Linked DNA regions of Sus scrofa. The protein of the gene in region 1 interacts with the protein of each later gene in a pairwise test. Links are inferred from orthologs where the notes say so. Each region holds a gene or a part of one and is shown on either strand. Other genes may lie near its edges.

Region 1 (4,293 bases):
TACAGCCCGCGAGCGCGGGGCGGCGCGTACCGGGGCCGCCGCCTCGCCGCCCGCCGCTGCCCGGGGCTGCCCATCGGCCCGGACCCTGCCGGCGCCGGGCTCCGGCGGGAGGCGGCCGGGACCTGCCCGCTGCGGCTGAAGCGATCGGCCTGTGATCCGGCGGGCGGGCGGCCGGGGCGGGGGCGCGGCGCTGCTCCTCCTCCTCTGTCCTCCTCCCGCTCCGCCGGCTCCTCCCGGGCTCCTGGTCTGCCGCGCCAGCTCCCAACGCCACCGCCCGCCCGCCCGGCGGCACCGCCCCCCGCCCGCTCCGCGGCCTCCCATTGGCTGCTTCCTGCCCGCCCCCTCGGCCCCGCCCAGCGATTGGGCGCGGGCGCCGTCTGTCCCGCAGCCCCGCGGGGCTCCGGGCTCAGCCGGTGCGCGGTTCCCAGGCCCCGCGGCTCGCTGGAGCGGCGCGTCCCGGAGGGGTTGGTGCTCTTCTTTCAGATGGGGCTGCGGGACGCCGGGTGAGCGGCGCCGGCGACCTCCAGGGAGATGCAGCCTACCTGGACCCGCAGTCTGGGAAAGCTGTCGCCCTCCTCCTCGGGACTCGTTTTCGCCCCTCTGGCACCGATAACTTAAAAACCCTGAATCTGTAACAGTGATGTCGTCATTTGCGTCTTACTGTATTTTCAGCTACAGTAGCCTAAAATTCTTACTGAGTAAGACATAATCTTTCTTTTAATTCCTAAAATTTGAGAAATACGTTTCTTAACTGGGGAAATAGATGTGTCGTGGGGCCGCACGTTGCGCAAACAATTCTGGCGCCGTTGGCCCAGCAGAGTGATCACAACACAGAAACGATGTGCCATTTGCTCTGCCCTGGCTGCTTCGGCCTTAGGGGCGCTGGTCATGGCTAAAGGTCAGTGTATTGAGGAAGTCCTGAACTTCCTTTGGTGGTTGTAGATAACATTGAAGGCTACTGAGAAGACGAAGGGGACTGTTTTGCTTCTTAAGAAACTTAAGGCCTGGAATAATATCAAAAAGGTCTCTGCGTCTGAGCGAATGAGAGAGCTGGCAAGGACAAAGTGAGAAGCCATGGTGCATGCACAGCAGGGGATCTGTAACCAGGACCACACTATCAAGGCCTTAAGGAACATCGCTGGCTCCTTAATTCTACATTCCCTTCAAAAGGAATTACTATGCCGAATGTAAGCAATGAAACTTGCTCCTGGTGGACAACTGGGATGTTTCGAATTTGCTTTCAGCAAGTTAGATGATCTGTAATGACACTTCCTGCAGCACTTCTGGAAGAAGCTGCCTCCTTCCTTCAAGAGTAACTACAACCTTCCCGTGCACAAGCTCAACACAGACCTGGGCATAATCTTGAAAAATCCCAGAGCACCATGCAAGAGAAATCATGTCAGGGTCCTGTAGAAGAATTCATTGGAAAAACCTGAGAGTCATGTTCAATCTAACTAAACCCACGTTCAAAGATCATGCACCCGGGGCACCATTCTTCACCACGCTAAGAATACCAAACTAACTCCGTGCATCCAGGGCAGCAGCGGCGGCAGAAGCCAGATCAGATGAGTAGAGGTACCAGGCAAGGTAGAGAGGAGAGAAAGGAAGGCTGTTGGCTTTAAGAAACAGAAGCAGCCGTTGGTGGGGGGTTAAAAAAAAAAAAAAAAAAAAAAAAAAAGGCAGCAGCTACCAAGAAACCAGCCGCTGGGAAGCCGGAGGAAAAGAAAGGCTCCACAGAAAAGAAGCCTGCTGCGCAAACTTAGATGTGTTTATCCTCTGAAGGTCAAATCATTTTGGTCAGCTCATTTTGAATAAAGACCTGATCAAAGAGGCAGAGAGAAAAGCGATCATACACACCCGCTAACCTGGCTCCGCGCCGCCCCCTGGCGCAGCCGCGGCCCCTCCCGGACTCCACTCTCCCGAATGGGGAGAATCGTGCCCGCTGGCTCTTGGTCCCCGCGCCGCGAGAGCCTGAGTGTCGCCTCCCGACAACACAGCTGCCAGGCGCTGCGCAGGCACCTGCTCAGAGCCGCAGCAGGATCGCCGCACCTCCGCGTTCGCAGGAAGCCGGCAGGAGGAGCGAGCCCTACTGTGTGCGGACACCCGAGGGCGCCTTGGACCGCCCAGGCGGTGCCCCTGACCCCCAGGGGATGGAGTGGCTGGATGCGCGGAGAAATGCGCAAGAAGTCAGGTGGTGCCAGCGCGCAGGAATGCTGCGGAAACAGACCATTGGGAGTCTGGAAGGAGGCTGGGAGAGGTGTGCAGGCTCTATCCTCCCCGCCCAGCCCCCCCAACCGGCCTCCAGGCAGCCCTCCACTCACGGGAGAAATGCTCCTGGATCTTTATCTTGACGAGGAGAAAATGAACTCTTGATATCCACCTTTTCCACTTTCCTAGGAGATGTTGATCACCCAGGAGGAAGCTCTCCCTGAAAGGATGAATGTAAATTGCTTGACACTTGAATTGGCTGCTGAAAGATTAAAAGATCTCAGAGGACCTTTTTAAGCCACACTGGAGTTAACTCTACCGAAAGGGTTTCATGGGAGTCAGAACCCAGGAGCAGGAATAGACTGGATTACATAGACTGTACCTTACCTTCCAGCCCCACCGCAGGATTTCCTGAGCCGGCTTTTCTGAGAGAGAACTTCTCTGGCAGTTTCCAGAAACAAGATTCAGAGTTTTCAGTTCCTCCTTTTCTGGAGGCAGAATTCTTCCTGGAGAGATAACGTTGTCTATACTTCCCTATTACAAACACTCCCTAGGGTAACCCTCTTAAAAGTTAGAGGCAGTCCCTCCCATGCCTTATTTCTCTGTGGTCTAAAAAGTATGTAAACATTTTACAGCCTTTTATATCTCTATGTAAATATGAGCATGCAGTATAGGAGTGTGTGTAATAAAACACGTTAGAGAGCAGTACTATGACCTGACAAACCTCCTGAGTTCTCCCGGGTTTGATGGGCTTCCCAAACACCACTTCATTAACAGCATTTACCAAGATGGTCGTTTATTCATTCAGCAAACATGTATGGAGACTCTGTATGTTCCAGAAGGTGCTAGGTGCTGGGGACAGAGATGCATAAGAGATAGGCCCTACTTTTCACAACCTCTCCATCTCACCTGTGCCCATCCCTATACATGACAGGTGCTCTCCCATGTCCTATGGACACAGGAATAGCCATGGAGGGACCCTTCCTGTGGAAGCCAAGGGAGGACAGACATCACCGCCCCACCCCCACCCCGCAGAGCACGTGATCACAGTACTTCTCACACTTCTCACAGCTACACATGTCATTGTCTTTCCCACTATTCTGTAAGGGCCCTGAGGAAAAGAACTGTGTCTCCCTCAGTGACTGCCTGAGCCTGTGGGTTGTCACCAAGGTGGGTTTTATAGCTGGAGCTGCAGTTGTCCACTGCCTGCTAGACACAGTGGGAGTTTTAATGTGTTCTTAATGTCTTAATGATCTGATAAGGAAGTCTTTAGTTTTGTAAGCTAAAATTAAAAATAACCTTAACCCTTTGGTCATAACCATTGTTGGCAGTGTATATATATATATATATATATATATATATATATATGTATACACACACACACACACACACACACACACACATATATATATACATATATAGTCATTTTGGGGCTATACCTGCAGCATACGGAGGTTCCCAGCCTAGGGGTCAAATCAGAGCTGTAGCTTGCCAGCCTACGCCATAGCCACAGCAACATGGGATCCAAGCCTCGTCTGCGACCTACACCACAGCTCACAGCAATGCCTGATCCTCAACCCACTGAGCCTGGCCAGGGATCGAACCTGCATCCTCAAGGATACTAGTCGGTTCTTTAACCACTGAGCCACAACAGGAACTCTAGCACCATTTTTTTTTTTAATGCTTATAATTGACAGTGCAGAACCACAGAGCACATGCAGCCTTGCAGAATGTTCTAGGCCCCAGCAAACATGACCCAGAGGCTTGGCTTGGCCTGGCCTGGCCAGTGCTGGACAGTGGTGATCAAACCCGTGCTACACCAAGAGTTCCCGTCTTGGCACAGCGGAAACAAATCCGACTAGGAACCATGAGGTTTCAGGTTCAATCCCTGGCCTTGCAAAGTGGGTTGAGGATCCAGCATTGCCATGAGCTGTGGTGTAGGTTGCAGATGCGGCTCAAATCTGGCATTGCTATGGCTGTAGCATTGGCCGGCGGTGGCAGCTCTTGTTGGACCCCTAGCCTGGGAACCTCCATATGCCACGGGTGCGGCCCTAAAAACAAAAACAAAAACCTGTGCTACACCAG
Region 2 (3,813 bases), about 19 Mb from region 1:
GGCCACAACTGCAGCTTAGATCTGATCCCTGGCCCCTTGGCATATGGAACTCCATATGCCAAGGGGCAGCCAAAAAGGGGGAAAAAAAATTTAATAAATAAAAATAGTGTATCAGAGAGCAGAGGTGATAATTAAAAGTCAGTCGGTTCTGGGAGTTCCTGCTGTGGCGCAGTGGGTTAAGGATTTGATCCCTGCCCAATACAACACAGTACCTTACATCAAGTTTTGAAATCAGGAAGTGCTAGTCTTCCAGTTTTGTTCTTCTTTTTCAAGATCAATTCGGTTGTTCTTGGTCTCTTTAATCTCCATAAAAATTTCAGGGTCAGCCTTTCAGTTTCCATTTTGAAAAGGCATCTGATATTCTAATAGAGATTGCAGTAAATCTGTAGGTCAATTTGGGGAGTATAGTCATCTTAGCATATTAAGTCTTCCAATCTATAAACATGAAATGTCTTTCCATTTTTTTTAGTTCTTTTTAATGTCTTTCAGTGATCTGTAGAATTCCATATACAGGTCTTAGATTTCTGTTAATTTAATCCTAAGTATTTTGATCTTCTTTTGGATGCTTTTGTAAGTAGAATTGTTTTCTCAGTTTCAGTATCAGAGTAGTTATTGCTAATATGTAGAAATATAATTGGTTTTTTATATTAGTCTTATATCAAGCAATCTTGATGAATGCACTTATTGCTCTCAGTAGTTTTTGTGTGGGAATTCCCATCATGGCTCAGTGGGTTATGAACCTGACTAGTATCCATGAGGACGTGCGTTCAATCCCTGGCCTTGCTCAGTGGGTCAAGGATCCGGCATTGCTGTGCGCTGTGCTGTAGGTCACAGATGTGGCTCAGATCCCATGTTGCTATAGCTATGGTGTAGGCTGGCAACTACAGCCCCAATTCAACCCCTAGCCTGGGAACTTCCATATGATGCAGGTGCAGACCTTAAGGAAAAAAAATGGTTTGTGTGTGTAAGTGTATTCCTTAGAATTTTCTGTATACAAGATAACATCATCTGCAAATAGAGATAGTTTTGCTTCTTGTCCAATTTGGAAGCCTTCTGTTTCATTTTCTTGCTTAATTATCCTGTCTAGACCCTACCATGTTCAGCATTTTCAAAGTGCTGAAAATGGACATTATTGTTTGTTCTTGATATTAAGGGGAAAGCTTTTGGTTGTTTCACAGAGGTTCTTTATCAGGTTGAGGAAATTTATCTTCCTAGTTTAAATGTTTTTGTCCTATAAAATTTATCAAATGATTTTTCTTGCACCTTTTTAAATAATTATATTTTTGTCTTTTATGAATACTGTGTATTATGTTGATTGAACTAACCTTGCATTCTTAAATAAATCATGTTACTTGATTGAGTTTGCTAGTATTTTGCTGAGGATTTTTGCGTTTATATTTTTAAGTGATATTTGTTTGTAGTTTCTTGTATTGCTTTTGTGTGTTTTTGTTTGTTTTTTCGAAACATTCTTTTATTTTATTTTTTTGTCTTTTTGCCTTTTCTAGGGCTGCTCTCATGGCATATGGAGGTTCCCAGGCCAGGGGTCGAATCGGAGCTGTAGCCACCGGCCTACACTACAGCCACAGCAACGCAGGATCTGAGCTGCGTCTGCAACCCACACCACAGCTCACCGCAACGCCAGATCCTTAACCCACTGAGCGAGGCCAGGGATCGAACCCACAACCTCATGGTTCCTATTCGGATCCGCCAACCACTGTGCCACGACGGGAACTTCTGTGTGGTTTTGCTATCAGGTTAATATAAGGATACTTTTTTTGATGTATACTAAATTTAAACTTTTTTTCCCTCCCAGAAAATGATCCACAGTCTATTTCTCATAAACTGTTCCGGTGACATATTTCTGGAGAAGCACTGGAAGAGCGTTGTGAGCCAGTCTGTCTGTGATTATTTCTTTGAAGCTCAAGAGAAAGCTGCTGATGTTGAAAATGTACCTCCTGTTATTTCAACACCTCACCACTACCTCATCAGTATATACCGGGATAAGCTCTTCTTTGTCTCTGTCATACAGACTGAAGTGCCACCTCTCTTTGTAATTGAGTTCCTACATCGAGTTGCTGACACTTTTCAGGTTGGTTATTCATCAAATCTTTTGAATTTAAATTATCCAAGTTTGATGAAGGTGGAACACGGTTATATTCTTTAATTACCCAGCTTTTGATGTGTAATCTCTCTGTCTCTCCCTGTTCTTTTCACCTAAGCTTAAGCTCATAAACATAAACCTTTTTTATAGGGTATACAGTAGTATACATAGCTTCTCAGTTAAAATTTTAGGAGAACAGAACAATCTCATAGTCATGGAAACTGTATTTTTTTAATGTATTATGGATTATGCCATCAGGAAATAATAGTGCCCTCCACGTACAGTTCTCTGAATGGTCCCAAGAATTTTTTTGGTTATGAAACCTTCCATTGCTTAACATTATTTTTTTTTCTTGGCCTCCTGAATATACCAATAATTGAAAACTTATCGGAGTTCCCGTCGTGGTGCAGTGGTTAACGAATCCGACTAGGAACCATGAGGTTGCGGGTTCGATCCCTGCCCTTGCTCAGTGGGTTAACGATCCGGCGTTGCTGTGAGCTGTGGTGTAGGTTGCAGATGCGGCTCGGACCCCGCGTTGCTGTGGCTGTGGCGTAGGCCAGTGGCTACAGCTCCGATTCAACCCCTAGCCTGGGAACCTCCATATGCCGCGGGAGTGGCCCAAGAAATAGCAACAACAACAACAACAAGACAAAAAAAAAAAAAAAAAAAGAAAACTTATCCATGTTTCTTGGAGTACATGATCAGGACAAATGAAGTTTATAGTTCACATTCTGTTTTAACATTTCAGTGTATTTTCTGACGTAATACTTAGTAGGAATCCAATTCAATCTAAAAACATTAAGGAGGAGTTCTTGCTGTGGTCAACAGGATCAGCGACATCTCTCAAGCACTGGCACACAGGTTCAGTCCCTGGCCCAGCACAGTGGGTTAAGGATCTGGTGTTGCTGCAGCATAGGTGACAACTGAGGCTCAGATCTGATCTCTGGTCCAGGAACTCCTAATGTCGTGGGGCAGCCAAAAACAATAGTAATAATAAGGAAATTTTGAAGAATAGTATATAGAACTCTAGAGGGTTTTTTCACCCTCTGTTTACATATTTTCGACATCTTAAACAATGATTTGTGCTACTTTAAGTTTACCCTTTAGAACACAGAAAGTATTTAGCAAGCCTTTCTTCATGTCTTCTATTGTGCAATATTATGTACCTTTTGTTAGGACTACTTTGGTGAGTGTTCAGAGGCTGCAATTAAGGATAATGTGGTCATAGTATATGAGCTCTTGGAAGAAATGCTAGACAATGGATTTCCACTGGCTACGGAGTCTAACATTTTGAAAGAATTGATTAAACCACCAACAATTCTACGTTCTGTTGTCAACTCTATTACAGGTAAGTGAAATGCACTCTAATAAGAACTGAGCAATTGAAACTTCATAAACATTCATTTTTGTTTATTTGATCTGGCAGATTCTTAAGGTAGTCCGTTTTGGCCGGATTTGAAGTTAGTGATAATGTTAAAATAGATGTATATTTCTTTTCATGAAAAGAGGCTTGATTTTAAATGATAAAGAACTTTTGCTTGTTACTCTTGTATTACAGGTTTTTCTGTAAGACTACAACAATATTATTACTATATTTAACACTAAATAGTAAGAATGACTAAATTATCCACTTAAAGAGAAACCAATATAGTGATGACTGTTAACTAAATTTATCATGGTAATCATTTTGTAATATATACCTATATCAAATC

What was found.
Region 2: the proteins of SIPA1L2 (region 1) and AP3M1 interact in binary tests that used the Homo sapiens proteins (3 or more experiments, as listed by UniProt). The two-hybrid records come from large-scale screens. The link is inferred for Sus scrofa from reciprocal best matches to the Homo sapiens genes SIPA1L2 and AP3M1.

What each region holds. Positions count from the first base shown.
Region 1 is NC_010456.5:58,115,434-58,119,726, reverse strand, and holds the start of SIPA1L2 (signal-induced proliferation-associated 1-like protein 2), read right to left. Parts: upstream 2,822-4,293; 5' UTR 2,596-2,821; intron 2,571-2,595; exon of another isoform or gene 2,429-2,570; 5' UTR 2,322-2,428; intron 1,878-2,321; exon of another isoform or gene 1,858-1,877; intron 561-1,857; exon of another isoform or gene 543-560; intron 232-542; exon of another isoform or gene 1-231.
Region 2 is NC_010456.5:76,825,517-76,829,329, reverse strand, and holds part of AP3M1 (AP-3 complex subunit mu-1), read left to right. Parts: intron 1-1,813; 5' UTR 1,814-1,816; coding exon 1,817-2,089; intron 2,090-3,277; coding exon 3,278-3,449; intron 3,450-3,813. UniProt on the Homo sapiens protein: Part of the AP-3 complex, an adaptor-related complex which is not clathrin-associated. The complex is associated with the Golgi region as well as more peripheral structures.